Linked DNA regions of Caenorhabditis elegans. The protein of the gene in region 1 purifies or fractionates together with the protein of each later gene. This does not show direct contact. Each region holds a gene or a part of one and is shown on either strand. Other genes may lie near its edges. The genes, in order: obr-3, bra-2 and bra-1.

Region 1 (13,164 bases):
ATTTTGGGTCTCACCACGGTGGGTCTCACCACGACGGGTCTCACCGCGATGGGTCTCACCACGATGGGTCTCACCACGATGGGTCTCACCACGATGGGTCTCGCCACGATGGGTCTCACCACGATGGGTCTTTCCACGATGGGTCTCACCACGATGGGTCTCACCACGGTGGGTCTCGCCACGAAGATCTCGCAGCAACATTTTTTTAATTTTCCAGAAGGTTCTAGAACAATCCAGAATTTTTTCGAATTTTCCAGAAGGTTCTGGAACATTCCAGAATTTTCTAGAATTTTCCAGAACCTTATTTCCCGCCAAAATATTTTTCACAGAAAATTTAAATTTCCCGCCAAAATATTTTTCACAGAAAATTTAAATTTCCCGCCAAAATATTTTTCACAGAAAATTTAAATTTCCCGCCAAAATATTTTTCACAGAAAATTTAAATTTCCCGCCAAAATATTTTTCACAGAAAATTTAAATTTCCCTCCAAAATATTTTTCTCAGAAAATTTAAATATCCCGCCAAAATATTTTTCACAGAAAATTTAAATTTCCCGCCAAAATATTTTTCTCAGAAAATTTAAATTTCCCGCCAAAATTTTGGGCCTTACCACGGTGGGTCTCACCACGACGGGTCTCACCACGATGGGTCTCACCACGTTGGGTCTCACCACGATGGGTCTCACCACGATGGGTCTCGCCACGATGGGTCTCGCCACGATGGGTCGCGCCACGATGGGTCTCACCACGATGGGTCTTTCCACGATGGGTCTCACCACGGTGGGTCTCGCCACGATGGGTCTCGCCACGAAGATATCGCAGCAACATTTTTTAAATTTTCCAGAAGGTTCTAGAACAATCCAGAATTTTTTCGAATTTTCCAGAAGGTTCTGGAACATTCCAGAATTTTCTAGAATTTTCCAGAACCTTCTGGATAATTTCAGAATTTTCCCGAAGTTTCCAATTTCCCTTCCAAAGACGGGAAGTCAATTTTTCATAAACTACCGTAATCCTACCGTACTCCTACAGTACTCCTACAGTACTACTACAGTACCCCGAACATATTCCACTACTAACCGCAAACCTATATCTCTTCAAAAGACAAAAGCTCAATTTTTCCTAAACTACAGTAATCCTACAGTACTCCTACAGTACCTCTACAGTACTACTACAGTACCCCGACCATATCCCACCACTAACCCCAAACCTATATCTCTTCAAAAGACAAAAACTCAATTTTTCCTAAACTACAGTAATCCTACAGTACTCCTACAGTACCTCTACAGTACTACTACAGTACCCCGACCATATCCCACCACTAACCCCAAACCTATATCTCTTCAAAAGACAAAAACTCAATTTTTCCTAAACTACAGTAATCCTACAGTACTCCTAAAGTACCTCTACAGTACTACTGCAGTACCCCGACCATATCCCACTACTAACCTCAAACCTATATCTCTTCAAAAGACAAAAACACAATTTTTCCCAAACTACAGTAATCCTACCGTACTCCTACAGTACTCCTACAGTACTACTACAGTACCCCGCCCATATCCCCCTACTAACCCCAAACTAATATCCCTTTAACAGCCGATAACGCCTTGCCTTTGTAAGCTATGACGTCACTTGTTAACAAACGGACACTATTTTTTTATATATAGGTAATGATTTTGTTAGAAAAAAATTCAACGGAAAAATGAAAAGCAGAGCATTGCGCAGAACTGAAATGAGCCATTTTTGTGTTGAACATGTAGAGCATCTGGCGTCGGACACCAGATATTTTGGTGTCATCTTAAAAGAACGACACTGCTAGCAGGTGTCAGTATTTAGTTGTTATAAATTGTATAGCTGAAGTTCTAAAAAAAATCTGAGGTCACATCTGTTAGTATCTGGAAGGGTCACCATAGTGCGTGGTACAAGAAACATCTGTGATCGTAAGGTCGCTGGAAACAAGATTGGTTTTCTAGAATTACAGCTGTAAAATAAGGGTGAACAGATACAGATCAGATTTTGTGAAGAAAAAATAATATAATTAGTTTTTTCTTGTTACTTCTATATTTTTTATTACCTATCCATATTTTAACTAAAATTAGTTCATAAACCTGAAGTAACTATAATTCTGTGAGCCTATATGTTTTTTGCGACACATCACTTTGTATGTGTTATTGTTAAAAAATTTTGAAGTAGGATAGACTAAATCGCTGCCCAAATATCTTGCTCTAAGAATCCTAATCAGTAGGATTCTTAGATCAGTAGGATTAGTTTATTACACATCTTTTTTGGCACAGACTCTACACACAAAATTTTGGGAGGTGGCAAAAAAAAAAGATTCATAGGATGAATATTGATGGTTCAAAATAGTGAGAAGAGGAAGCAATAGGAAAAAATTAAAGGCAGGAAATGGGTTAACGAATTTTGGAGCATAGCACGGGGAAAGAGAAGTAGCGTTGAAATGGAAAGAGGGAAAGAGTTTGGACTAGGATTCAGAGGAAATGAAAACAAAAAATCACGATGAGTTGAACCGAAACTAGCAAAATAAGCAAATTGACAGGAACAAAATACAAATAATTCATTGAATAATATTAATATACAAGTCAAAATATTTAATATTTGATACAGATCACTTGCGAAGCATGAAGAACATGAAAATAGATTGAACTACCGAGGTTACAACAAAAACGAAGAGCAGAGTTGACTGGATAGCGTTCAACGTTCGGGACGATTGTCTTTCGTTGGCTGCTTCCATTCTGCGAATAGCCAATTCAAATTTGCGCTCCATTTCCTAAAACAAAAAGAGTTTTGAAAATGTATTTATACACTATTGATGTTGCTTTTTCATGATCCAATTGTTAATTGTCTACAGTTTTTAAATAGTTACATATGGGTTGGAAAATTCATACATTCAGTGATAACTAACCGCTGTCCACGCCAAAATAATAATTCTTCCACTACTTTTTGTAAGCATAAGGGATCCTGTATGAATAATGTTTAAAAAGTACCCGAGAACACAGAGCTTCCACCTATTTCTTTGATTTTTTCTATTCTGTACTTAATTCGAGCTGTATTATTTTTTCTTTTGCTACTGAGATTTAAAAAACCCACAATTAAACAAATGACCAAATTTATCATCAATATACCTACCTTGATACGCTCATCAGCGACCTCCGGTGTGATTGGTTTTGACTTCGCTGGGACAATTTCCTTCTTCTTAATTTTTGGCTCAATCACTTCTTCATCGCTTTCACTGGCCTCTGATGTATTGTCACTGCCCAACTGTTCACTGTTTCCCGTTTTCCTTTTGGAGTGCCTCGAAATCGTTTTTACCACGTAGTTGTTCTCAATTTGTTGAATATCGTTGTTGTTGTCCCATGGGCGGTAGCTGAAATGTTTTGCGTTAAAATAATAAAAGGTTGCATTTTTTTTCAATTATACTCGGCATGAATGTACACATAATCATCTCCGTGCTGTTTTTTGAAGAACTTTGTCTCGTGTGGAATTCCGGATTTGGCGCGCGCTCTTTGATCGTTTTCCAAAGCCGTCTTTTCTTCTGTAGCTTTGTACTGATCCTCGTTCGAAATCGCTTCAGTAACGTGGCGCCAGAGCTTAGCCGATTCCCATTCGCCTTGCTCATCCATGTTAATCTCGTAGCGAGGAAGCCGAGTTTTGATCACTTCTGGTGTGGGATTCCAAAGTTCTTTCTTGCCCTGAACATTGGAAATTAGTCATAAATTGAGGGTGAACGTAGTTTGAGAAGAAGCTATATATAGATGTTTAAATCTTAAATTGATTTAAAAACTAATAGCCAGGCATGATTTTTCAACTGTTATCTGGATCAGAGAGAGAGGCTATCAAAAATTATTAGCAGTTCTACAACTGCCAGCTTTAAAAAAATTTTGTTGATTGGCAATTTTGGTAATATTCAATAGTCCAGCAAGTGTACATCTATCAAAATCAAAACAATTTGAAAAATGACTATCAAAACTTGAACAAAAAAACTGCTGAAAGTATTGATTTTGTTTTAAAAACTAGAACTCTTTTTTGAACTTATACTTTTTAATCTAAATTTTAATTTTTCTTTTTTTTTGGACTAAGATTTTTACTAAAATGCAAAAGTTTTAACTTATTCTTAAATTGTAGCCTTATAAATTTTTGGTAATTGCCAAATTTTCAAATGAAAAAAACTGGTATTCTCGAACGTAAATTGATGACCCCTGATCTAGTAATGACAAAAAAATTCAACTCACATCTGGTCCCTTTATCCTAATAACTCCGTCCCATGCACCTTCAATACTGGCCAACCGATCACTTCCGTACTTGATACTTCCCTCAATTTGATTGTAGGCTCCTCCAAGCATTGGCTTCAACTTGAAATCCAGCGTGGTCCTGTAGCCGGTCTTCTCGCACTCAATGTTAACCTCTCCGCCAAGTTCCATAGTCATGGTTCCGATCATGATTCCTTTGCAATTGGCGTATGGCAGGTTGACAATGTATGTCTCGCCAAGATTCAGCAACGTCAGACGAAGCTTCCCGGCAAGAATAGCTGACAGTGAATTTCCGTAATATTTGCTCTTGGCTAGAATCGTTCCGCTGATATTGAACCCGGCTTTTCGATTGGTGATGAAAAGTGATGAAACTGGAGGGTGATGAGAAACTTGTTCGGCCATGTAGAAAGTTGTGGATCCATCTGGATGTTCCCATTTACAACGGAACGTTTCACCGAGAATTGGATTGTAAGGCTTTTTGAGTCCCTTTGGTTTTTTGTAAAATCCAGACAAGAAGAACTTGGTAACCTTGACAATTCTCTGAAATGGGTCTGGCTCTGCAACAGCCCTGAAACAAAAATATATAATAATTTTCACACCAAAATTGCTTACTCTGAAATGAGATCGGCATGATAATAATAATCGGCAAGTTTCTCCAAAAATGATCTTGGCTCGAGGATAAATGTAGGGAGGACAACTTTGGAAAGGTCCATTCCTGGGCGAATTTGCTTGAGCAGTGTCCAGATAAGTGACTTGTTTTCTTCGCCGACTTCTTCCGTTAATGAACCATCCGGGCCAAACTGAAAACTTGCATTTGAAACACTAAAGATAAAGTGTTGGGATATTATTACCTAAATGGTTTCAAAATAACCTAGGAACACCGGTTTTCATAATGAAATTTCAAAAAATATATTGATAGTTGTTTATAACAATTTTGTAAGTTTTTCACAGTTGGAAAGTTTGGAAGTTTGTTTAATTTTTCAAAAAAAAAGCTGAGAAAGTTTTTTTGGTCAGCCTATTAATTAAACACTATCGAACTTGTGCACCCATCAACTGACAATTGATTTTGCGATAATCAGATAAAGAAAGATTTTTATTTGCTGCGATACAGATCAATTTGAAAAATTTATAACGTGTGCCATTTGTTCTACTTTTGTGATTAAATAATTTGTTTCTCGATCAAGATGATGAAAAAATTAAATAAAAACAATTCAAAAAATATAAACAATTCAAAAAATATTATAGCAATAATTTTTTGTCAACCAGAATATGCCCATTTGCCAATTTTTGCAGTTGCACATTTTGTGAAAACTAGCTTCACAGTTTTATTAACTTTCTTCAATTATTGCTCTTTTATGAATACTCACCACTTCTTTCGGGCTCGGAATCCATGCGCTCTCTGTGAATGCCTCTCTTATAGTGTCACTTGTCTCTGACATTTTTCCGTCTTCATGATCTTCATCTTGGACATCATCAATCTCTTGGAAATGCTTTTCAGCATCCGTCTCTGACACTGCCAATTCTCGAGTATCATCTCCATCGGAATCGCGTGACATTCTTGATTCATCTCTCTGACCATCGTTCATGCTGCTGTCTCCATTTTTGTCATCAAGCTGCAATGAGAAAAAGGTCAAGAGGCTGTATAAAATTTTTGAAATTTTCAGAAATCGGAAAAGCCAATTACCTCATTCATAGTCTTTTTCAGCAGTCCAGTGCACTTGAATGACAACTCAAGAGCATCCATCCAACATCGGCCAGCCTGAACAATTTGCGTTTTTAGGTTCGTATGCTTTTTTTCGGCTAGCTAATGTTTGCCCAACAAATATAGCCGAGAAAAATATGAACTCATTGGGGTAAAAACAAAGAAAGAATTGGAAATAATAGTTTGAACTAACCTGGTCGCTGGGTGCTCTGCAAATGAGAAATGATGTGTTCAGGGGGTTTAAGGTGAAGCTTCCAAACGATTGTCCAAGTGGGCCACGGTTGCCCCAAATGCTCATGTCCATTGGCTAAAAATGATTCAGATTCATAATCAAACCTAGAAAACCTAGACAATCGAAGAAACTTACGTGAAACAGTTTGAAGCAAAACCCATCTTTTTTCGACGGTCTCTCAATCAGCTCGCAATGGTTAAGAAGAACTGTTCCGACCCAATCACCCTAGAAAAAAATTGCATTCTCAAAATAAAATCTTAGCAGATGTAGGTTGCTTGGAAATAAAGCTTAAAGTTTTGCTAAATTTTTAAGGGAACAATAGAAAAAATGTTTAAATGTGAAAAAGTGTTACTTGTTTCTTATATACAGTAGTATAAACTAATTTATAGCCGTGGTATCAGTCTGGCTCATTACAGTTTGATCTACAAAAAGTGCGGGAAAAATTGTGACGTCAGCATGCTCTTAACCATGCGAAATCAGATGAAATGTCTGCGTCTCAACTCCCGCATTTTTTGAAGATCAAATCTAAATAAGAAATTCCGACGCAATTATTAAATTAAATTAAATATAATCCGTAATTTACAATTTCAAGTCTGGAAGCCTGTATGTCTGAAAAAATAATTTCTTGAAAAGTACTTTTAACAGCACATAATTTACACTTAACCTAATTTTCGCCCATAAAACTACTTACCCTGTCCGCTTTTTTGTGCTTGTACAAAATGAGAAGTCCAGGCTTGAGCACGCAGTAATACCGGTTCCACCGTTTCAGAGCTCCGCGAATCTTGAGCGTGTCCGCCATGACGACCACTGTCGGATCGCGCAGCGCCGACAAAAGCTCATCGTTGACGCGTTTCTTCTCGTCGCGATACTCCTTTTTTTGTTTCTGCAAAACGAAATTTTATATGGATTGGGTTTTAAATTTTTAATTTTTGATCTCATTTCAATTTAAACTCAAAAAAAAAAGACAAACCTTGCGAGCCTTTTTTGATCTTTTGGTCATTCGAAACTAGAATGCTACACCAGGCATTTCATACTAGGTTTCATGTTTTTATCAGTAATCCTCTCATGTTTCCCACTAAATTCCAGGTATTTGCATACTTGTCCGTGACCACTGTACAAAACTCGTGACAGCACTAGAAAACACTATGCTACTTTACTGTTTCTACTAAAGACAATGGTCAAGAGCTTTAGTGTCCGCTTTCACTACCTTGATGGGCGACGACGAGAATGATAATAATCGGTGATAAGCGACACTGAGTGATGCACGCCTCTGCTTGTGAGCAGGTGGCTCCACAATTCTCATGTCCTCATTTGGTGAGGTGATTGTGAGCTTTCGCTCTTTACGGCGTTCCAACATTCCTTGAAAGATATTGGGATAATGAAACTTTGTGGAGCACGGAGAATGGAAAAGAAGGAAATGTTAACATCATGGGAAAATATTACATTTTCACGGAATGTTGCTATTTGGTTAACTGGGGGGAAAGCGGAAAAGTTTTGGGAAACAGAAGCAGCGCATATAAACTTCGAGAAAATAAATATGTGAAAGAAAATTGTTTAAATTTTTTTTCATAAACAGAATCAGAAAAATTTAAAAAAAAAACGTTCATGACTAATACGTTATCAAGAAGCTGAACTACTACAAAAATTTGAAAATTGACGGACTTTTTGAATCTGAAGTCTTGCTATAGGGAACTTAAAGTAAAAATGTATTAAAATTGTGGCAAAAAAAATAACATTTAAAATACTCTAATTGTGTTACATTTTGCAAAACTGTTAGTCAAGATTTAGCCAATTGCCTAATTTAATTTTCAATTAATTCTATTTTTTGAAACACAATTTTGAGTATCCTTGCGGGCTCATTAGAACAATTTTGAAACATAAAAAACATAGAAATTCAAATTGTTAATTGACTTTTCCTAACATAGATTAGCATTAAATAGATAATTTGAAACATTTTTCCCACTGACGCAATTTTGCATTTAAAATTTCTTATTATTGGAAATCAAAAAAATTCACTAGACTCAAAACCAGGCACGTTTTTTTTGTTGGGAAAGTAATCAGGCGCCGTGATAAAAATATTCGAGCTCAGAAAAAATAAAAGAAAAATATGAATGAACTCGAATATTATAATGAAATTCTTTTTTTTTCCAATGGCCTGAATGCGTCGTTCCAAAAAAAGCTAACTCAGTTATTTTTTTCCCACAAAGATTTTGGAATGAAAAAACCGCAGATGAAAAAGCTTAGAAATAGACTTTCGAAATTTGAAAAACGATTCTCCTCCTACTCTCAATGTCCTTGTAAAATTACATGCTTGAAAAAAGAGCAGCTCTTCAACACGATAATAGTCTATAGTCAGCGCGTCAAAAGCCTACTACGAAAAAAGCATTAATTTTTGCTTCCTGCTGATTTAATGAGCTAAGTACGCAAATAGGAAGTCAAGCATAATTAGTATACAGAAAAGAAACCAACAAAAAAGGAAATGAGAAAACCCGGAAAAAAAGTAAAAAACCAATTGGAGTAGTGATAACGGCAGAAACTGACAAGCCACCATCACCTACTAAACAAGCACAACCCACTACAAAAAGCATTTGATTGTGTTTTCCCCATTTCATTTTTTTTTCATGTAATTTGTTACCTGTTACGCATTAGTCATAAAATTTTGAAACAATTTTTTTTGAATTCATGCTAGTTTTTTGTATAATTTTATTTTTCAAAAAATTGTTTGATGGTAAACAATATTAAATGAATTAGAATAAACAACTTAAAAAAAAAAAAGACTACGAATAAAATTTCTATAACGAGAAAAAAAAGAAAAGGAAGAGAGAAGAAAGTTGATGTACTTCTACGGTTCGGTGGCTATGGGAAAGTAGGCAAAAATAGAGAGTAGAATTGGACAACATTTCTCTGTTGCGCGCGCGCGTATAAAAAGCCACGAAGGAGATTTTGGTGGAGCAACACAAATGCAAATTAGGTGGTCGTACCTAGAGCCGGTGCAGTGTGAAATAAGAGGCTTTAGACTTCGCAGTTGACTTATGAACTTTTTTTTCAATTATAGTCTTAAATTAAAAAAAAATTTTCTGTCAGTTTTTAGATAAAATCTACTTTTCAAAAGGTAATGGTTTCTGAATACTATTTACTCGAAATCCCCATGGTCCCATGATCTTTTTAATTTTTCGGTAAGAGCAGTTTTTTTTCGCATAAAGTCGTATAAAGCATAAATTTCAATTTTTCCGATTTCAATTTTTCAAAAACAAGGTACATCAAAAAATGTGCTTGTTGCGAAGCTTGGCATCTTAAAAACTTGTTAACAAAACATATTTCAAGAAAAAACTTGTACCAAGTATTCAAAATATTAAAAATTCCAACAAAACCGAATTTTTAAAACTTGTCGCATCATTTTTTTTTCAAGAAAACACCTGAACTTTTCTCAGAATCCAAAACTACAATAACTTGTTTTGAAAAAAGTAGAGTGTAAATACCGGAACCAGGTCTCGTACGCGTGCGATTATTAAGTTTATATTGTTGAATTTGTGGGATCGCATCTACGCATGTTTCCCCGAAAATGAGATGTATTCAGAAATAGTAAAACAAACGTTTTATTAAAAAGAAGAAAACCCTCTTAAATAGTGTTTGTCTCAAATTTTTGTTTAAAAAAATTAATTAAAAAGGATTAAAGGACGATCCGTTCTTCAAGTGCTATGCACTGCGGATCTGGGATTCAGGTACACTGCCTGGTGGTGATCCCTCTGGGCTGTAATTTAAGCCGAGAATTTTGTGATTTGTTTTTTTTTAATACTCACTATTACTTGGATTAAAAATATTAATTTTAAAAAAATCAAGAGTTTTGATGACTTGCTAATTCAAACTATTTTCTTTTTTAGCTATCATAAATTTGTGAAAATCTTTTTATTTCATTTCAATAGCAACTATAGTTCTCAGCTGGAAACAGAGCCATGGCATGCAAAAAAGGGAAATGCGTGTTTGGCACTGCGTTCCATTTCTCCAGAGTGTGATAACTATGTACGTCTCTTGACACATCTTCGGATTCTTTGAAAAAAAAGTCATATGTGGGTGCTGCAGCCACAGCTCGGCAGACAAAAAATAGTCACGACTAGTGCCCCTAAGGCAGAAATGCAACGAACAGCTCAGATATAGTAATTTTGTGTAAAAAAAACAAATTGTTTTTGAAACACGTGCTTGAAGTTTCGTAGTAAATATTAAAAAAACATATAACTAGCAAAAATATTTTGATTCTTTTGAAGTTGGATTTTGTATTGTCTAAATAAATTCCCAGAAGTCGCACGTTTCTCGATAAAACACAACTATAAAAGTTTGATTTCAGAAAATTTGAAGCAATGGAGCACGTCTAAAACCCTTAAAATTGCAGATAAAACTAATCAAATCTTAATTGGAATATAAAAAAAAAGGAAAAAATTGTAAACTATAGAAATTTGTGTGTTAAATAAAAATTTCTCAAATAATTGTTTGAAGCGCTGCTGCAGTTTAACAATTGACTTCCTATTAATAAGTTTGCATTAAATTGCTAAATTATTATTTTTTCTAAAACTGAGACATAAGTAATTTTAAGTAATTCTAAAAAATAAATCTATCACTTGAAAAATATATCAGCTTTGAAATCTTACCGGTTTATCCGATCTTGGTCCAAAATGTTTCAGTAGCTTTATTATAGGTGTTTCAATAAGTTTTGCAAGTTTTTTCATAGACTTTGTCACCAGAATATGGGAAAATGATTTCAACGCTTGAAATTTTTATTTGAAAACTGGAAGGTCAAAAACCAGTGAACTCTACATGTTTATTTTGATCACCTGATCAACCTCCCTCAACGTGAAATATGTTTTCTTTTTTGAAAAATGAGGGAAAATGATGTGTTATGTTTTTATAAAACTGTGAAATAAACAACATGTTGAAACTTGGTTATTTATTTTAGTAAGAGTAGGGATTAGGATTTCAAAATGTAACTAGCATTGGAGTAAAAAAATTTTGACTTCACATTTTTGACGAGAAAGAAAAGGTGATGAATATCCTCCAAACAGTAGTTTGAAAAAGAAACTCGAAAAAATTACACACTATGAAAAAATTTTAAAAAAAACTAGGGATCTTCACTTGGGGAAATTGCAAATTTCATGAGCAAATCAATACATAAGCAGAGTTTTAAATCATTTTCAAGTTTGGGTGAAGCGAAAACGAAAATTAGGACTAACTTATCGGCTCTTTCCTTTGAAAAACTGTTTTAAAAAATTTTCAACATGTTGTTTTATTATTCACTTCATACAGTGTGGGAAAGTTCTATAGGACCCCCCCTAATTTGAAGGTTTGAGGAACTTCCGAAAATTTTTTTGAAAAACTGCTAATGCCATTCGTTTTTAAATTGAAAAAAACCTATATACATTTTTTTCCAGAAGTTTATCTCAAAAACTGAGGTCGCGCTGGAAAAAACGTCAAAATCCAGTGTGAAACTTCTATAGGACCCCCCGTTTTTTTTCACGATTTTTACTAAAATCAACAGATTTTGGAATTTTTGACAAAGCTCAAATCAAGTTTGAGTTAGAAATGAGTTCATATAAGCAGTTTTGACTTTAAAAATTAATACGAAATGTTCTCGTGGGATCTCCAGACTGGTTCTGATTCTTCCGATCTTTGATGTTCAAGTCTGTTTCAAGCTTCCTGGTGCTCTCGGTAATGCCAAAACTTGATAAACTCTCTTTAACAAGTTCCTACTAAAATTCCTAGCACGCACTTTAGATGTTTCGACTGTGTAGTCAAGCTGATTTGGCAAAATATGCAGCAGGAAACAATGGAAGGCTTATCAGGAATCAAATCGTTTTTCTTTGATTACAAGGTTCCATGGGACCAATATTTCAAGTTAAATTGTCCCTCACAGATGTTATTTACTATTTTTTGCGTGAATTATTAAATGTGGAATTGTGGCATGTGTTGTGGCACACATATAGAGGCTGGAAAGCTTACTTCGAAAGCAGTCTAACTTGCAATGCCTCGAGGATCTGCCCTTTCGGACACTGAACGCGCTCAGCTGGATGTTATGAAATTGCTCAATGTGTCCCTGCATGAAATGAGTAGGAAAATTTCCCGTTCTCGACACTGTATTCGCGTGTATCTGAAGGATCCGGTGAGCTACGGTACATCTAAAAGAGCTCCTCGTCGCAAAGCTCTCTCCGTGCGCTGTTTCTGACTGGTTTCTTGGGGATGGCGTAAAAATGTTTATGGTGTGTGTGCTAGGAATTTTAGTAGGAACTTGTTAAAGAGAGTTTATCAAGTTTTGGCATTACCGAGAGCACCAGGAAGCTTGAAACAGACTTGAACATCAAAGATCGGAAGAATCAGAACCAGTCTGGAGATCCCACGAGAACATTTCGTATTAATTTTTAAAGTCAAAACTGCTTATATGAACTCATTTCTAACTCAAACTTGATTTGAGCTTTGTCAAAAATTCCAAAATCTGTTGATTTTAGTAAAAATCGTGAAAAAAAACGGGGGGTCCTATAGAAGTTTCACACTGGATTTTGACGTTTTTTCCAGCGCGACCTCAGTTTTTGAGATAAACTTCTGGAAAAAAATGTATATAGGTTTTTTTCAATTTAAAAACGAATGGCATTAGCAGTTTTTCAAAAAAATTTTCGGAAGTTCCTCAAACCTTCAAATTAGGGGGGGTCCTATAGAACTTTCCCACACTGTATTTGCTTCCCAGCTTTGTGACTCAAACTGTTTTTTTTTTCGTGAAAAGAAATGCCTTCGGTTTAGTTTATTTTACAAACTTGGATGATCTAATTAATTGATGAAGTAGTCAATCAGTGAAAAAATAAAAATTAGAAAAAAAAAGTCCACATTTTATAATTTGGCGTGCAACTTTGAACTATACAAACATCAGCTCACAACTAAAATGCAGTTCAATCTTTTTTTCTTTTTTCAACCACTAAAGTAAACAAG
Region 2 (8,794 bases), on another chromosome or scaffold:
TTTCCACAGATTTCAAGGATAAGAATAAGTAAATTCAATTTGTTATAGCCGACAATCTACATCACAATTTTAGTATACACGTTTTTGTGTCTTCTCTTTTTCGAAAAAGGAGAACGGTACACTGACGACTATAAAACTCAATTTTCCAAAAAATAAAAGTTTGCTTGAATATATGCCACATGCTGGGGCCTAATAATATTTTCATTTTCAATCGTTCACTACAAACCACATCCACAGTAGATATAGGAACTTTAACTAATTTTAGTGACAGCCAAGATAGGAGCTGAACTTCGCCGCTTAAGTTACTGTCTCTTTTTGAAGTCACTGCGAACATTTTGCACTATAAAATTTAAGTGACGTCCTTTTCCGTGAATCACTCCAACTTTGTGCAAAGTTAGAAAAGCTCACAAATTTCCCGGTTTAAAAATATACAACTTCAGAAAAACATTCCAACTGTGGAACCTATTGCTCTTCCCACTTTGGATCCGAATTTTTGGGTGAGTTGGCGTCTTTTCTTAAATTACAACGTTTTCGCGCAATAAATTACAGCAGAATTTACCGACGATTCCGCCAATCGTTTTGCCAACAATTGATCCCATGTTTTGGGTAAGTTAGCCAGACTTTCCCATACTTTTTAGAGGTGGCAAAAAAAGTTCCGGTTCGGAATTGATACAGATTTTGTTCAAATTATAGGAATTGTGGATGATTAAGAGTACAATCTCAGACGAAAGTGGCCTAGGTGTCAGATTTTAGAGATTTTTGTTGATGTAGAAAAATGGCCTAGTTCGGCAAACTCTTACATTTCAATTTATGCATAAGTTTAAGAGAGAAGGCAGAGCCGCGTGAGAAGCGCGTGAATGACGTTCGTGAAGTTCAAAATTTTTAATTATACAGAAAAAAGCCAAGATTCATCATGTAACATTTTGCACCTAGAATTACGTTTTCGCGAACGGACGATACGGAAAACTCTCTAAAGCCTTTTAAGTTTTTTTAGGTGGTCAAAAAATAAATAATTTTCAAATGTAATATCATGACTGATACACTGAAACAGATTTACATCAATACCCAGCAAAAAAAGTAAAAAAAAAAAGCATTTTGGCGTAATTTCACCCCCAATGACAATAATTTTAGAATAATTTACCGACAATTCCGCCAATCGTTTTGCCAACAATAAATCCAGATTTTTGGGCAAGTTTGAAAAAATTTGACACACTTTTTCATATTTTTTATAATTTAAGAAGAATTTTCCGACAATATCGCCTATTCAGTGGCCAACACTTGATGCAAACTTTTGGGTTTGTGTGCAAAAATTTATAAATTTTAAAACGATTTTAAATTTCAGAAAAATCTGAATCTTCCGACTCTACCCCCATTACAAATACCAACTCTAGATCCAAACTTTTGGGTATGTTTTCAGTGCGCTGTAAAAAAATAAAACATTTTTTAAAGAAAAATCTGCCAACTATTCCCCCATTTGTTTTTCCGACTCCGGCGCCTCGAGAATCTCAGTGCACCTATAAGCTTAGTCAGGAACTTCAGAACAATGCAACAATGGCGGCAAGATTGAATTACATGCAAGTTGAGCAAGTTCTGAATCGTCTGTTATTGGAGTCCACGTGGATCTGTAATGGTTTTCAGACACAGAAGCTGACTGATTTGACGAAAAAATACGCAGTGTTGCAAAGTGATATGCAGACGGTGGGAGTGTTTATAACGAAAATTATAATACGCGGAATATGTTAACTCTGGTGATCTTGAAGGTAGAATTACTAATCGAAAGGGGTCTCGCGGAGCAGATTGCATCTCGAGACGATCGTAAAAGTTTAGGTTCATACGTTTAAGTATACTGTAAGCATTTGGTAACCAAAGTGTCCTTGTGTTTGAATGGTGGAAATTGACGTCATAACTATCATCAGTTCATGAGACTTTCTGGCGCAAAAATAGTGGTAGCTAAAGTAAGAGAACATGTGGCAAAGAGAGGTTTAGGTACCTTCGCTACGAGATATTCGCTCGCCGAAACGGTAGGCATTCTCATAATCTCATGGTTTCTGAATATTTTTCTACAGGAACTACACTACCAAATGAGCCTCTTCCCCTAACAAAAATAAGAACACGTTGACTACGCGTAGACGTTGGATAAAACATTGGTCTATAGTAAATTACAATGCATTTTTTTCACTTCTACAACTTTGAAATATGGCGCGTGGTGAGGTCATTCCCCGTAATTGCGACCCCCCTTTGAAGTTGTAGAAGTGGAAAAAAACACTGCAAAAGGGACCTAAACTGAAAATAATAAAAGGTGAGACCCATCCTAATAAATGCAAAAAATGATCGCAGAAAGTAGGATTCGTCAACCAAAGTCATGGCATGTATTTTAGCAGAAAAATTTAGGCCCTGTCAGGACCTGAGATTTGGAGTTGAATGAAAACTCAAAAGTTTATTAATTCAGGTAACTTCTTATTTCTCAACTTCTGATCTCCAGCAACTACTTTTATCGATTCTACAAGGCGATACAAGCCAAGTTTTTCGGCTATTTTTCTCGAAAACAATGGAAAATCTGGCGAATTCTACAATCACTGGCGAGCTTTCTAAGGCGTCCACACAACTATCGATGCTTCAATTCGACTTGGCTATTAATACGATTTGATTTTATATAAATTTAAATAATTATTTCGAATAAACTTGAACAAAGACCGTCTCTTATCTTTAACGCGTGACAGTTTAGCGGATTACTATAGTTTTCGAAAAGATTTATGTGTTAACCAGCCGTGGACCGCACCTACGGCGCGGCCCCCGACTTTTTTGGGAAAACACATTAGATATACGGTGTCTATCGCGGACCTCGATCGATGTCTGCTGCGCATTTAGCATAAGGTTTCCCAAAATTTCGTTGCTCTGATCAGAGATCAAACTACATAGGGACAGAAGGACACGCGCTTTATATATAGTAAATGATGTTTAGGAAACACGAACACATTCAATTGTAAGATTTCATAAGAAGTATTAAGAAACCATGAGATCACGAGAATTCCTACCGTTTTGGCGCCGAAATATCTCGGAATCTCTTTTACTATGTAATCTCTTTTACTACAGAATCTCTTTTACTACGAATTCCGCATTCAGATCTTTTACTACAGTTGGCTCTTTTACTACGTGATCTCTTTTACTACGAGTTGCCTACACAGATCTTTTACTACTTTTTACTCTTTTGCTACGGACGTAGTTGTAGTTAGTGGGGGATACTGTTGGGATACTGTAGTGGTACTGTGCAGGGCTGGGACCAAAAAAATTTTAGACCAAAAAACAAAAAACAAAAAATTGATTTTTTTGAAAAACCAAAAAAACAAAAAATTGAATTTTTCGAAAAACCAAAAAAACCAAAAATTTTTGATGCTTAAGTTTATTTTTAATGGGGTTATTCAAGTATGTACCTCCAACTGCAATATTATTCAAGTTACAAGTGTTTTTAGAAAATTTGCATTGTTTGGGCTAATACCCATACTGAAAAAAATTTTTTTTAGAATTTCCACATTTCTAAACTTTTCTTCTGACTTTTGGCACACATTTTTCCTAATAGGCCTAGAAAAGAAGTTTTCCGCAGATGAAGACGCGTGTGTTAACTCGATATCTGTTAACACGATATCCATAAATCAATTTAATTAAATTTTTTATTGAACAAGGAAAACATAGAAAGTTCGACAAATTGATAAAGATGAAGAATAACAGAAACTCATTAGGATTTGGAATATAAATAGACGTGGTGGGTGAGATCAGCGTCGCATTTGTGCGGTGGTGGGTGGTTGAAATTTATTCAGTTTCGTGTTCTGACGTGAGATTGATGATAATGATGATTAGAGAGTTAAAACGAAAGAAAATTATTGTTGTTGTGGCGGCATTGGTGCTCCGACTTGTTGAGGAGCTGGTACACTTGGTGCTCCAGGAGCATTGTTTCCTTTCTTTCTGCGGCAAAACTTTCGATGAGTCTGCCAATGTCCCTGTTGGCATTCAACACTGCAATATGCGGTATTCCAGCAGCAATGGTATATAGCCTGAGATTTGGATAATATCATTGCTTTCATAGATGGAATCAAATATACTCACCTCATTATCACACGACCAGCACCATTGTTTCTTTCTTGATGCAACCAACTCTCTTTTATGCTTTTCATTCAACTTTGCACTTTCCATCTTCAAGTTCTCTCTGTGTTTGTTTTCTAGATCGGCTCTTGTCTGTTCCAACTCGTCTTTGAACTGTTGTAAGAGTTCCGATCGAATTTTCTGTTGATCCATCATGAATTCTTGATGCAACTTCTCGGTAAGCTCTACAAGACACTTCTCACGTGACGCGTGATACTCACTGAGCCAATGACGTTGCAGGTCGATTATCATTCGTTTCATCCCTTCACTGACGACCACTCCATCGAGATGATACTGAAAATAATCGATTTTTCGACAGGAATTTCATTGAAAACTGACCTGCCGCACATTATTTTCTAACGCCGCATCTCCGAGATCCTTGTCGATCGGCGATAGGTGAATATCACCTTGTTGAGGAACCACTCCTTGCTGTTGTTGCTGATCCATCATCAATTCATCATGCACTTGCCCATCGGCCATCTTTTGCACGGGTTTAACTGAAAAAATTGTTGTGAAAAATCGATAGAACGTTCTACAGTATTCAGAGTAGTTTTCAAGGCGTTATCAAGAATATAAATCAGTTAATACGTATAAAAGAACATGAATTGACTGTTGAAATTATTTTTATCAAAAAAACACTTTAAAAATCTGAATCACAGCAAGAAAAACGAATAACAAAGAGCTACCGTACGCGCAACAGAGAAAGAAACAAATATTTGTCAACGACACTCCGTTATAACGGTGCGCATGTTGTTTAGCGTAATCGATTCAAGGCCGCCCGCTCGTTTTCTCTCCTATTTTAAAAGTTATTTTATCGATTATTCTTATTTTTCCGTGGTGGTTTAAGTAAAATAATTACTCGTAATATATTAAAATAGACATTTCGGCATTTTTGCGCATAGAATCATTATTCAAGTAATGTAGCAAAATGTATTTAAATACATTTGTGACGTCACAAATGTATTTAAATACATGTTTTTATATACTTGAATACAGTTGTGACGTAATTTTTCTACACTTTTTAATTTTCCGACACTACTTGAATAACCCCATTAACATAGGTTTTCGAAATATACTGCTTTCTAGCATAAATTGAGGTTTGCAGACTTTTTTCTTAATCAACTTTCCATCTACAATAATTTTTGGTACTTTCGAAAATAAATTATTGTTTTCAGGATGAACCGTACCGCTTTCAACCGCTTCTTGGCTCTTAGTCGTTTTGCACAAAAGCGTCACGGGCACGGACATCACGTATTGTTTATTGTTCGGTTCAATGTAGCAGCGTATTTATTCAGGTCGCCAACCCGGGACCACCATGCACCTTCGACTTGATGCCAGTGCCATTCCAATCTTACAAGAAGGTCTACGGCGAGCTCCAGGGAAAGTTCAACACCTATCTTGCAGTGTCAGCGGTTTTCTTCGCTTCGTCGGTTGGTATTTTACTATATTTTTTTATTAACATTAACGATTGCTAGTGAGATTCAGGATGGATTTCCATAAACAAACAAAAATTTACTAGGTCGCGGGGTTTTTTTTTTCAATAATTCAACATTTTACAGTTCGCCACCGCCATCTACACTAACCTCTTCGCCTTCGAAGAAGCCATCAGACCACCACAGAGCTATCGCAATCGCAAATAAATGCTCATTTGCCTCGATGATCGATTTATTTCTTTATTGTATTCACCAATTTTTAGTTTAGCCGAATATGTCGTGACAACTTTCTGTGGTTTCGCCTTATGTGGCAAATGAACAATTTTTGACTGTTGTCACTTCCGTCGATTGTCTAACTGTTTTATCGAATTTTTGTACTTGCGAAAGCTTGATTTACATATGAGATCTGAATTGAAATTCAGATTTGAATCGCTAATGTTACTGCGGAAGTGTTGAAATGATAGTAACATCGATGTTTCGTGGTATTGCTTGCCGCTGCGAGCTTCAACTACTGCTAACTCCTCGTCGAATGCTACGAAACTTTTCAAGTTTGGAGCAGAAGCAAAGTCCAAAAATAGAGTCACTACCACCGGAAGAACGCGGCAAATACAAAGTGGCGACTATCCCTAATGCAATTTGTACAGCACGAATCGCGGCGACTCCACTCATCGGATATCTTGTTGTTCAACACAATTTTACTCCTGCTTTCGTGCTTTTTACAGTCGCCGGAGCAACGGACTTGGTAAATCTCTTTTTTTTTCAGAGAAAATCAAACAGTTCTTGATTTATTGTCGAAAAAACAACCAAAAATGACAAATGTTCAATGAGAAAAAACCCTAAATATGCGGACAAATTTCGAAAAATGTTCAATTTTCTCGGGAAAAATCACTGAAAAACAAATTATTTCATATTTCCTTCACAGAACCATTTGAAAATTTAAATTTTTGGTGTTTTGCCAAGAAATCTTTTTGGAAGTCAATAAATTTCAGCTAGACGGCTTCATCGCTCGCAACGTACCCGGTCAAAAATCACTGCTTGGCTCCGTGCTTGATCCTGTCGCTGATAAACTTCTCATTTCAACAATGTTCATCACAATGACTTATGCTGGGCTCATTCCACGTAAACAATTCGGCCGAAAAACTTTAAATTAAGCGAGTTTTTCAGTACCCCTCACGTCTGTTGTCATTTTGCGTGACATTTGTCTCATTGGAGGTGGTTTTTATAAACGGTATCAAGTGATGAGTCCACCATATTCCCTCAGTAGATTCTTTAATCCACAAGTATCATCTATGCAAGTTGTACCAACAATGATGAGCAAGGTAGGCTTATTTTGTTCAAAATGTATTGCTGGTGGCACGAACATGGTATTGGTTTTGAACAGTCAATAAATATACTTAATGCATTATAATGTGTCGAATTTTAAACAAATTTTTGTGGTTATATTTCAAAGGGTACTGTAGTTTCAAACTTCTGTTGATGCTGAATTTCCATCGAACTATTGATTTATATAGTTTTTGGGTTAAAATATATTTATTTGTTTTGAAAAAACTTGAATAAAAAAATTACAACACATGCATTTTCAACGAATATTTGTACGAATTCGTGACAAAAAAAATTTATGAAATGTCGATGAAAATTCCGCAGTTGAAAGTGTTAAACTACTTTTTTAAAAAAGCTCACCATTTTGTATTTAACAAAATTTCGTCGTGTTGTTAGGACCGGATACTCTATTTTTCCCTTTCCAGATCAACACAGTACTTCAAATAACACTTGTTGCACTTTCGCTCTCCTCTCCAGTTTTTGACTTCTCCACAGGTGCCAATGATGTCATAGTTGGTCTCGGCTGTATCACAGGATTCACCACAATCTACTCGGGACTACAGTATGCCAGTGGGAAGGCCATCAAAAAAATTTAATTATTATATGTTTTCGCTAGACTGTGATCCTCCTCGTTTGTCAATCATTTTTACACGAGAATATATGAATTTGTACTTATTGTTTAAATCTCATTTTTATTTCACGCGGTTCTATAACCCATCCATCTTTCTTCAATTGTTAGTTTAAATCGACTATGTTCGTGTGATGACTCATTCTTTGTTTTTCTTTCTCTGCCTCACACATCGTCTATTTTCTTTTGTTGGGATATCTGCGTGTCTGCTGATCTTCACACTCCTTCGTGTACACAGTGCTCTCTGGGTATCTTTCTTTCCTGAGTCACTGTAATGTCCAACCAAGAAACAGTTTCACCGTGAAAGTGACATACTCTTTTTCTCACGAATTCAATTTGCGTTAATTAATCAATTATTTTCTCACAGAGAAAGGTTTTGACTTTACCCTAGGTCTAAGCTTAGTCTATAAAACATTCCATGTGACGTTTGATTGACTTGGAATCTTTTTTGAAAATTTCTTGCTTTTTTGACCGAGATAAGATCCTATCAGATTCGCCCATAGAACTGTTTTTGTAACCACCGAAAAGTTTTGAAAACAAAAATTTAATTAAATAATCATTTAAGCTTTCAGCTAGGTTGCAAAACTTGAATTTTAAAAAAACCAAAACATTTTTCATGCCATTTTTTTCTAAAAAGATTAACTTTAATTTCGCCCAAAATAAGTTTATAGCTGGAAAGCACACAACTCCTTGTTTACTTTAATGATATAAGAATTCGGTTTTTCCACTCTCTTTCTTGCAGTTTCATCTTAATTTTTTTTCTGTTTATTTATTTTATGACTCAACATTGTTCATAGTTGTCTCTTTCCTCTTGAAAATCGGTATTTCCTCTTTCAGAACCGTTTTAATGGAAACACCAGTGCCGAAACCAAGGACAAAATTTGAGGTTTTCATTGATTTTTTTAAATAAAATCGAAACATTTTCATTTCCAGCCATCGTCCCCTGAACCAACGTTGCCTCCAAGACCTCCTGTGAAGCCACCTCGTGCCGTTGCAAATTCAACAGCTGTTCAAAATTTTGGCAATGTATTGGGAGAGTTGCGATTAAACTTGAACGAGACGATTTCTTCTCAAGATCCACCGGGAATTGGATTTATCGAAGTGAGTCCGGGGACTTCGATGAGCCCACCACAAAGACATGCTCCACCGCCTCCGAGACCACCTCCACCAGCTGGATGGAAACAGCATCCCGTCATTCCCGAACGAATTCAATTAAAGTATTTTTTGGCTCTTTCAATATTCTTTCTCAAACACTCATTTTGCAGTCGACCTCTTC
Region 3 (8,646 bases), 200 kb from region 1:
AAAGTTGTATAAACTAAAAAAGTTGAACGAAACGCTATTTTTCAGGTTACGACAGTCGCATGACCGTCTACTCTCATCCGGCCACACTCCAATGTGTTGATTGTGAGGAAGGAGTCAAAAAGCGCTTCACCCAGCTCTTGAGTTCGATGGTAAGCTTCGAAATCGTTTGATGATGCCTACCAAGCAACAACTTCCAGTATAAAATCTCAAAGGATTCCGAGGGATACATCAATCTCGACTGCACTCAAACCGCTGCAATGTACTTGCTCAAAGGTACTTCGGTGATGACACATTTGATCCCTGTCGAGTATCAAACCGGCATCAAACTTCCCCGTCGTTAGAAGAATTTGGTAACCGCTCTGTTGATTGATTCCAGTTTTTATTATAATCTCAGTTTGCTTTTTTGTGAGGTTTCGTTTGAAAAGTTTACAATTTCTAATCGAGCTTTTCAAAATTTCAAACAAGATCGCTAATAGTGTCTGCAGTAAAAATATTGTTAAGTTGTCTTGTTTTGTATTTTGAATAAACTTTGTTTTGTTGCTTCATTTTTATGCGCTTTTGATGTATTTGGTTGAAGTTTTGACTAAACATCGGATTTGATTTAATATTTAAAAACTTCTAATTTTCTTCATACTATCATTGTATTAAACATTTTTGTTCTGAGATTATCTGAATGTGATATTTGAGAAAGAGAATGTAAGAAAAAATAAACAAAGAAGGAACCGTGGGGAACGCGAACTGGAGTATATTTCTTGTTTATTTTTGTCTACAATCAATGATAAGTGACTCCTCGCTGAGAGTGCAAATTTTGAATGTTTTGAGCCGTTTTTTGAGCCGTTTTAAGCCGTTCTCTGGCTAGTTTTACTGATTTTCAAATAGGTTCATCAGTTTTCGGACGTTCAGCCATCTTTATATAAAGACTTTTTGGAAGACACACTTTGTTGTGAGTATCTTTCGAACACTTTTTTGAAATTAAAATTAAAAATTGCTGCATCAAGAACATGTTTTTTAATAATTTTTATGTTATTTTTGATTTTCAAAATTATTGTTTGCACAAATGGACAAATCACTTCAAATTATTTAAATTTGAAAAATAAAACTTTTTTTTTCAACATGTCTGAAACATAACTAAACATAACAAGATGTCTAAAATTTTTACATCATTGACGTTTGAACTTTTTCCCGTCTAGCTTGTACCTGTTTCTTTTTGATTTTTTTTTACCCCGTCTCTTTTTAATAGTAAGTGCAAAACGAGTGTCCGCGCGCGTTGCCCATTTTTCTTTTTACAGCCTAAAAAAAATTAAAAAACAGTCTCAATATACCAAACTTTACCATTTAAAAATCCAGAATTTTCTAAATAAATAAATATACTTTTTTTTTTAAATTTTTCAGAAATTAAAAAAATGTCTTTTGAATTTCCGCAAAAATATATAAAAGTATTTATTAACGATCGAGCTCATACTGGACAACTCATATGTGGTAAATATAGTATAAGTAAGAATAATGAAAATTGAGAAGCGTAGATAAGACAAAAGCCATTATAATAGTAAAGGGCTATAAGAAATAAGAAAAATGAGATGAAATGAGGAGAAATAAGAAGAAAAATAAAGAATATCAAAAAACATTTTTCAGTTTGAATTAAAAAAGTGAGATGTGTGGAGGCCCTGTCGGATGCCTAAAAACAGTGGAACACGGGAAAAATGAATTAATGTACATAAGTTAAACAATTAACGATTGCTGTGGTTGCTGTGGTTGTGATTGCTGTGAACAGCCTAGTTGCGTTTTACAAGAGGAACATAGTTTGGGCTTCCAGCTTCTTCACGCTGTAAGTTGTTGGTTTTTGGTATTACGTTAAAAATTATTCATCCTCACCTTGTCCGACGGGCGTTTGTTGGCTCGTGGCTTGTATTGTGGCTCTTTGTACTTGGTAGATCAGAACGTGATGTTGTGACACTTCGCTTTCTGATCATTGTAAAGAGCAGCGCAATAAGGGCACTCCACGTGAGCCATGCTGCAGTTGACGTGCACATTCGCTGTGTTGCGTACTCCGGTTTCCATACATCTGATGCACATCCTACGTTTAAAGGCTTGCTCTCTGCGAGGTAGGAACCAAGAAAACTTGAGGCAGTTTTCAGTGGCATGGTTGTTTCTCTTGCACAAGTGGCAAAACTGAAATTGTAACTTTCTAGTTTCGTTTATCAACTTTTACACTGTTACCTTTGTGACCTGCTTGACCGCTGCTGATGATGGTGGAGTGACGTTAAGTGGAGCTGCTGCGGCTACACCTTGTGTGGCGACGTTGGCGTTGATGGTGGAAATTCCATTCGCTCGATGGATTTCATCCACCTTCGTAGCAATGACGTAGAGGATTCCACGCATCTCGTGTATCATCCCGTACACTTCATCAAGCTTTTCAGCATTGAGTGCTGTTGTTTCAATCTTGGAGACAGCGTTCTTGGTGTTGTTGACATCTTCTTTCACCGTATCCATATCAGTTAGAAGCTGTTTAACTGAATGGTTGATGTTGGCGATTTCGACCAGCAGATTCGAATCTAGAATTAGCGTTTTTAATGTGAGATAATTTAACTTTAATTACTAACATTTCAACTCGTCTGCCGAACCGCTATCGCTCTTGCTCAATGAAGTTTTTGGAGCTGGTTCCTTCGGCTTGGCGGGTGGAGTTGTTGGACTGACACTATTGTGTTTTTTCTTGGCCGGTTCTGTGACGTCGCTGTCATCATTAGTAGAGACGATGATTTCATCTCCAACTACATCCGATGGGCGTTGTCTCTCCGGCATTGGCTCCACCGCTGGCATGTTGGTGTCGGTGTGCTGTTGCTGTATATTGGCACTGTCGGCTGGCGCCTGATCGGCAGTTTCCTTTGGATGCATTTTCCTGTAATTAATTATTTTAGTTATGAACAGAACTTGCGTTCTACAATTTTACAAGTTTTAGTCGTACTACGACAAGATAGGTTAAGGTAATTTTTTTTTTCATCTTGCGGAGATAGGAAAAGAAAGAATTTTTCAAACAAAAAACGCTTCGAATCAAGAGGGCGAGTGTAAAAATAATTGCGATTTTTTTCCGTCAAGAAGAGTTGAAAAGCGAAAATAATGCGACAAAATTCTGAAAAAAGCCTAATTATCGGTAATTCAAAATTAATTTAGATTTACTTTACGGAAAAATTCTGAAAAATCGACAAACCTTATTTAGGAATCGGTCTGATGAATAGTAAAGCACTTACACATTATTGAGCAAGATTTACTATTATTATCGCATCGCAAGTTGTTAAACATACTCAAACGATGTTCATTTATTCACAAATCGCAATTTCTATTCGTTTCGTTGTTGAAACTCAAACAAAGTATATTTGTTGTACAATCCGTGTAAATTTCATAGCACTCCTTCTAATTTGAATTTTTGGGTGCTTTCTGAAATAGTTTTTCAGAGAAGTTTATATTCATTTTAATTGCAGAGGTTGAATAACTCTCAATTCATTATGTCAATTCATATCTTCGTTAATTGTTTACATTTATACAATACACATCGGATGTGAAAACACGTTTGATCCCCATAAGTGTCTAGGAACATTTTCATTTTGTCATCTTTCACATTTACAGTATCCAAAAGGACATGTGTATCAAAATAAACTTTATTCACATAATTTCTTGATTATTTCTCGAAGGAATTAACACAAGTTTGAGATCTCTCCGAAATTGATCCAAATTCCTAATTAACAGGATTTATATAGAAGATCTTAAAATTGTTGTTGTCATGGGATTATAGAAAAATATTGCATGTTATTGGAGAGAAGATATACAGTAGTAACACAGAAAACGGGATGTGTGATGAGATAAACTTCGAAAACCTGACACAAGCTTTGTTACTTTTCAAAGGGCCTCCGGCTCGCAGATAGCATATTATTTAAGTTTCAATCATTGTTGACTTTGAGTAGGCTCAGCAATTGGCTGAACTGGTCCTGGGGCTCCACCGTTGCTCTTCTTTCTGCGGCAGAACTTGCGATGAATCTGCCAGTGTCCTTGTTGGCATTCAACGCTGCAATAAGCAGTGTTCCAGCAGCAATGATAGATTGCCTGAAATATGATCATGATGTTTCAGGTCTAGCGTTATTAATACAGCACTGGAGCGCAAAAGAATTATTTTCATGCTCGAAAGAAAATTAGCTTACAAATAAGATATAGTACTATGAACATTGGTATCACGACTCAGACTGATGTTAGAGATTTTGAAATATCTGGCAACACTCTACATCTTTTAAATAGAGAACCCGTCTAAATCAAAAAATCATAAAATCATAAAATCTCACCTCGCTGTTGCATTGCCAGCACCACTGCTTCTTCTTAGCGACAGCAAGTTCCCTTTGGTGTTTTTCCGACAGCTTTTCAATCTCCTCCTTGAGATTCTCCGCGTGCTTCTTCTCCAGCTCTTCCTTTGTCTGGTCGAGCTCTATCTTGAACTGAACCAACAAATCGCGACGGACTCGCTCCTGATCTTCCATGAATTCTTGATGGAGCTAAAATATAGATTTCTAAAATTAAAACTTTGGGGTGGTTGACTTACTTTTTCAGTTAGAGCAACGAGAGATTTCTCGCGGCTATCGTGATAATCCGTGAGCCATTGACGCTGAAGGTCGACAATCATTCGACGCATTTTGTCATCCACGTACAAGTCGTCGAACTGTAAAGATGATTTTTTTTAATTTTTTCCCGGTGAAAAATTTTAGTGAAAGTTGTTCTGTTATATTTTTCAAAAAAAAAAGCTCTTACCGTATTTGTTCCGTTTCCATTTTCCCCATTAACTTTTGGCGATGGTCCAGCTTCAGCTTCTTCCGACATTTCTGTAAATAACTGTGTTTCTCTGGAAAAAAATTAAATCAACTAATCAAAAATAAAAACTCTCGTCAGCACCGATATAAAAAAGAAAATAACAAAAGCGTTTAAAACCCCTCAACTCCACGCAGATACAACGATGCTCCGGAATTACGGCACTCTTGGTTTACACCAGTCTGAGCAGACGGCCGTCTGCTGTCTCGAGGTAATATTCAAATGACGACCGTAGAGAGATAGCGGAGAGGTAAAGCAAAAGAGAGAGCAGAGAGAAAGGAAATGGCAGATAATGAGCCCATGAGGCGAGTCGATATGTGGTCATGAGCCGGAGGGCGTTGCGCAGTCTAATGAAAGGATAAAGAAGAGATTATTGAGAGATGGAAGGTTCTGGTCACCTGCTCACAGACTACATTTTTTGAACAGAATGCGTTGTGACGTATCTGACTTTTTGATTTACAAAACAAAGGAAGAATTTGAATTTGTGTTTGACGCACTTAAATAAATTTCCGGGTGGATATGGAAAATTTGAGAATGAATATTTGAAAAAGAAAATCAAGAAAAAATGAGTTTTTTGAAAACGTATTCTTAGAAATTTTTCTTATAATTATAAGCCTTGTTGCTGTGCGACACAGGAAAAAATTAAAATTTTAACAAAAAACTTAAACTGGGAAAATGTTTTATTACATTTTGGAAACAAAACTGAAATCTCAAAAGATTGCCCCAAAAGCTCAGATACCCTTGGTTACGTCGTAGTTAATCATAAAATTTTTATGATTCTCGTAGGCTGAAATGGTGTATTATTGAAGCTTGAAGGGCTTCGCAAAACGGGAAATGAGATTTTGTGACTAACGGAAATTAGAGCCCAGCTAGCCGAAAATTTTGAAAAATTGAATATCAAGAGAAATATGTGGAAATTCTTGTTGGAAATTTTTAGGGATAAATATTGTTTTTTAAAACAATATTCGTTTTTTACGCACCAAATAGAAAAACAGAAGGAATGTGACAGAAATGTACAGAGAGGGTTGACTGACTTTGATTATCTTCTGGTATTTTTCCAGTTTTGCAAAGATATCTTAAGAAAACAGTATTAAAATGATTTCCAGAAGTTTCAGCGTTTTAGTAACTTTTATTAAGCAAACCTGTTAGTCGCAGAAAATCTGTCATCACACGTGATCGATGATATCTTTTTTTGTGTTCGATATCCTCAACCACGAATGCTGACTGAACACGTCTGCGAGATTTTCAAAAATATCCAGAATAAATTTTGAAGTAAGCATTGAATATCGTATATTTTCCTTCCAACGCGGCAATAGATGAGGGCGGCGGTGCACATAAAAATATCGCAAAGATGAGAACCATAAAATATTGGCGCTGCAGTTTTTTTGCAATTCGTTCTCTTTTCTTGACGCCCAAATTTGTTGGATCCTATGAAACAAAACGAAGGGTAGTAATGGGTGATAATGTACAGTTCAGTTCTACAGTTCAGAGCTCGGAAAATTCGGCAAATATCGTTTTTTAATATTTGCCGTGCTTAACAAACTAGGAAAATGTGATAATTTTTTATGTCTTTTTTATGTGAGCATTTTTTCGACTGTGGATTGCAGTTGACTAGACAATTAACTAAGTTAACTAAGTTAACTAGACTATAATTGACTTCCGAAGATACTCAAGTCGGTTGGGACAATCAGTTTTTTCTGCACTGATCTGCTTGATGTATCCTAATCGGCTTCATCTTTATCTGAGTAGGTGTGCTGCAAATTTGCCGTTTGCCGGGCTCGGCAAATTTCAAAAAAGTAGATTTGCGGAACTTTCCGAGCTCGGCTAATTATGTTAGGCCGGATCGATTTTACATGACTCATTTCCGTTGTTATCAATTTTTCTATCTGCTGAACAGGTTAACAACCATATGATAAGACGCGTAATGTGCCTATGTAATCATTTATTAAAAACAGTTTTTTGTGTACGAAAAAATTTCAAATAGAGGTGCCTGATTTTTACAAGCTGGATAAAACAGATAGTTCAAAAGTGGTATGATGTATGATGACAACGTTTATAGAATGACTTACATTGTTAGATAATTCATAAAATACTAAACTTTTTGTTTTGTTAGAAAAATGTCTTTATACGTTTAATTTCCAGAATATTTCCTGCACTTTGTGTGCTTGCCTTTTTTGCATACAATTAATTTGCTCACTGTTCACGAGTGCAAGGGACTCATGCGATACGTTTTCTTATGTTTCTCTGTGTCTCTCGTTTCACTCAATTTCTCGCACTACGTTACTCCGCTCTTCCACCCTGCTCGCAGTTTATTTGAACCATTTTCCTGATGTCATGTGTTTTGCATGACTAATTCCGCATAAACATACGTTTTTCTTGTAAATTAATAGATTAAATTATAAAATATTTTTCAGGATGGGTACTAATCAATCAAAACGACATCCACGATTTCAGTCATGCACATGGGATGAATTTTTGGCCGATATTAAGGAAATGAACCGAAAGTATGTTTTTTTGTTAGAGTCAAATTTGGTTGCAATATTTATAATTCATAATTTGAAAAATCAAATATAATTTCCAAATGTTTTAATTTCCTTAATCTTTTTGAAAATACCACTATTTTTTTTATACAGCAACAATTAAAAATTTATAAATAAAAAGGCTTTCCTTAGCGGTGTTCGAAAAATAATTTGGACATAAAGTGTGAAACAATCTTTTCGCAACATTTTTTGAAGTGTTTGCTTATGAACCCTGCACCAAAGATCGGATTCCTCGGAAGTTTCCCAAACATTACGAAATATGGCGTCACGACCTTAACTAACATTTTATTCGTTCAGTTATCGCAGTCTTCTTGTCGAAAACGAGGAGTACTTGGCCTTCGCTCTCCGGAACATTGACTATCAGCGTGAAGGATATGAAAACTGGAAGTCAGAGATTAAAATTCTCTGCTGCAAGGTGAGTAGTTTCATTGTACAAATCGAACATTGAAAAAATAAATTTTCAGGTTAATCAAATGTCGAAGCAAGTGTTAAACTACAAGGAGCTGACGTTTCGCGAGTTTCTCTCCACATATGATCTACATAAGCTGATGATCACCAACAAGGAAAGCCGTAAAAGAAGCGTGGATCCCATGTCGACTAGTCAATTCATTTTGACTCAAACGTAAGTTACACGAAGAAAAAAGTATACACTGATATCGTTATATTTGGAAAGAAAATGTATTTTAATTAAGACTGTTTCGTTAGTAAATTTTAACCTTAAAATTTTTCACAGGTCACTTCAACTTTTTTTTGCAGATCGGATGTCGAGGGTAACTGCGTGATTTGTATGGAAAACATCAACGATGTAAGTTTTCAATTTCGTATTCAAAATTAATTCATTAGTGGGTCCGTACATTTTGTATTTTGGAATCTAAAACCTTGGTAGTGCTCCTCATATTTAAAAACTTTTCTTCTACTGGTTCATTAACATGAGTTTGAGAAAATATCGATCAAGATTTCGAAATGAACAATTATGAAATCCCAAACTTGTTTACTTTGGATAATTTTAAGGCATTTTTCCGCAAATTTTTATCTGTGGATTCATATCGGTAAACTCATTTGAGCTCAAGGAATATTTCCAAAGTTCCAGTTCTCATAAAGAACATATTTGAATAAAAAACTGTAAATAGTAGATACGGAGTATTGAAAAATAAAAATAAAGATATTTTATTTATTTTTCAGTTGCTTCTCCCGTGCCTCCACGCCTTTTGCATCCGATGCATCGCCAACGAAATGGAATACCGCCACGATTTCTCATGCC

The links.
Region 2: the proteins of obr-3 (region 1) and bra-2 purify together in Caenorhabditis elegans (affinity purification with western blotting, with the first as the bait; one study listed by BioGRID). This does not show direct contact.
Region 3: the proteins of obr-3 (region 1) and bra-1 purify together in Caenorhabditis elegans (affinity purification with western blotting, with the first as the bait; one study listed by BioGRID). This does not show direct contact.

Annotation. Positions count from the first base shown.
Region 1 is NC_003284.9:13,796,017-13,809,180, forward strand, and holds obr-3 (PH domain-containing protein), read right to left. Parts: upstream 7,560-13,164; 5' UTR 7,556-7,559; coding exon 7,406-7,555; intron 7,082-7,405; coding exon 6,890-7,081; intron 6,424-6,889; coding exon 6,334-6,423; intron 6,274-6,333; coding exon 6,160-6,273; intron 6,024-6,159; coding exon 5,949-6,023; intron 5,878-5,948; coding exon 5,632-5,877; intron 5,065-5,631; coding exon 4,877-5,064; intron 4,833-4,876; coding exon 4,247-4,832; intron 3,954-4,246; exon of another isoform or gene 3,760-3,953; intron 3,707-3,759; coding exon 3,435-3,706; intron 3,382-3,434; coding exon 3,144-3,381; intron 2,930-3,143; exon of another isoform or gene 2,909-2,929; intron 2,785-2,908; coding exon 2,623-2,784; 3' UTR 2,213-2,622; downstream 1-2,212.
Region 2 is NC_003281.10:907,101-915,894, reverse strand, and holds bra-2 (MYND-type domain-containing protein), read right to left. Parts: upstream 4,635-8,794; 5' UTR 4,618-4,634; coding exon 4,477-4,617; intron 4,432-4,476; coding exon 4,102-4,431; intron 4,050-4,101; coding exon 3,876-4,049; 3' UTR 3,652-3,875; downstream 1-3,651. Other genes in the region: idpp-13 (DUF148 domain-containing protein), read left to right, coding at 441-497, 550-606, 1,132-1,188, 1,239-1,295, 1,343-1,405, 1,450-1,698, 2,450-2,647; F23H11.5 (Deltamethrin resistance protein prag01 domain-containing protein), read left to right, coding at 5,314-5,388, 5,433-5,567, 5,697-5,777; crls-1 (Cardiolipin synthase (CMP-forming)), read left to right, coding at 6,028-6,312, 6,560-6,689, 6,735-6,889, 7,316-7,486; F23H11.4 (Rho-GAP domain-containing protein), read left to right, coding at 8,366-8,404, 8,452-8,735, 8,784-8,794.
Region 3 is NC_003284.9:13,594,682-13,603,327, reverse strand, and holds bra-1 (MYND-type domain-containing protein), read right to left. Parts: upstream 4,880-8,646; 5' UTR 4,858-4,879; coding exon 4,789-4,857; intron 4,700-4,788; coding exon 4,583-4,699; intron 4,536-4,582; coding exon 4,329-4,535; intron 4,096-4,328; coding exon 3,937-4,095; 3' UTR 3,641-3,936; downstream 1-3,640. Other genes in the region: F54B11.8 (Yippee domain-containing protein), read left to right, coding at 46-149, 198-341; F54B11.7 (CCHC-type domain-containing protein), read right to left, coding at 1,933-2,169, 2,218-2,552, 2,601-2,892; F54B11.5 (RING-type domain-containing protein), read left to right, coding at 7,261-7,349, 7,683-7,800, 7,850-8,007, 8,142-8,190, 8,568-8,646.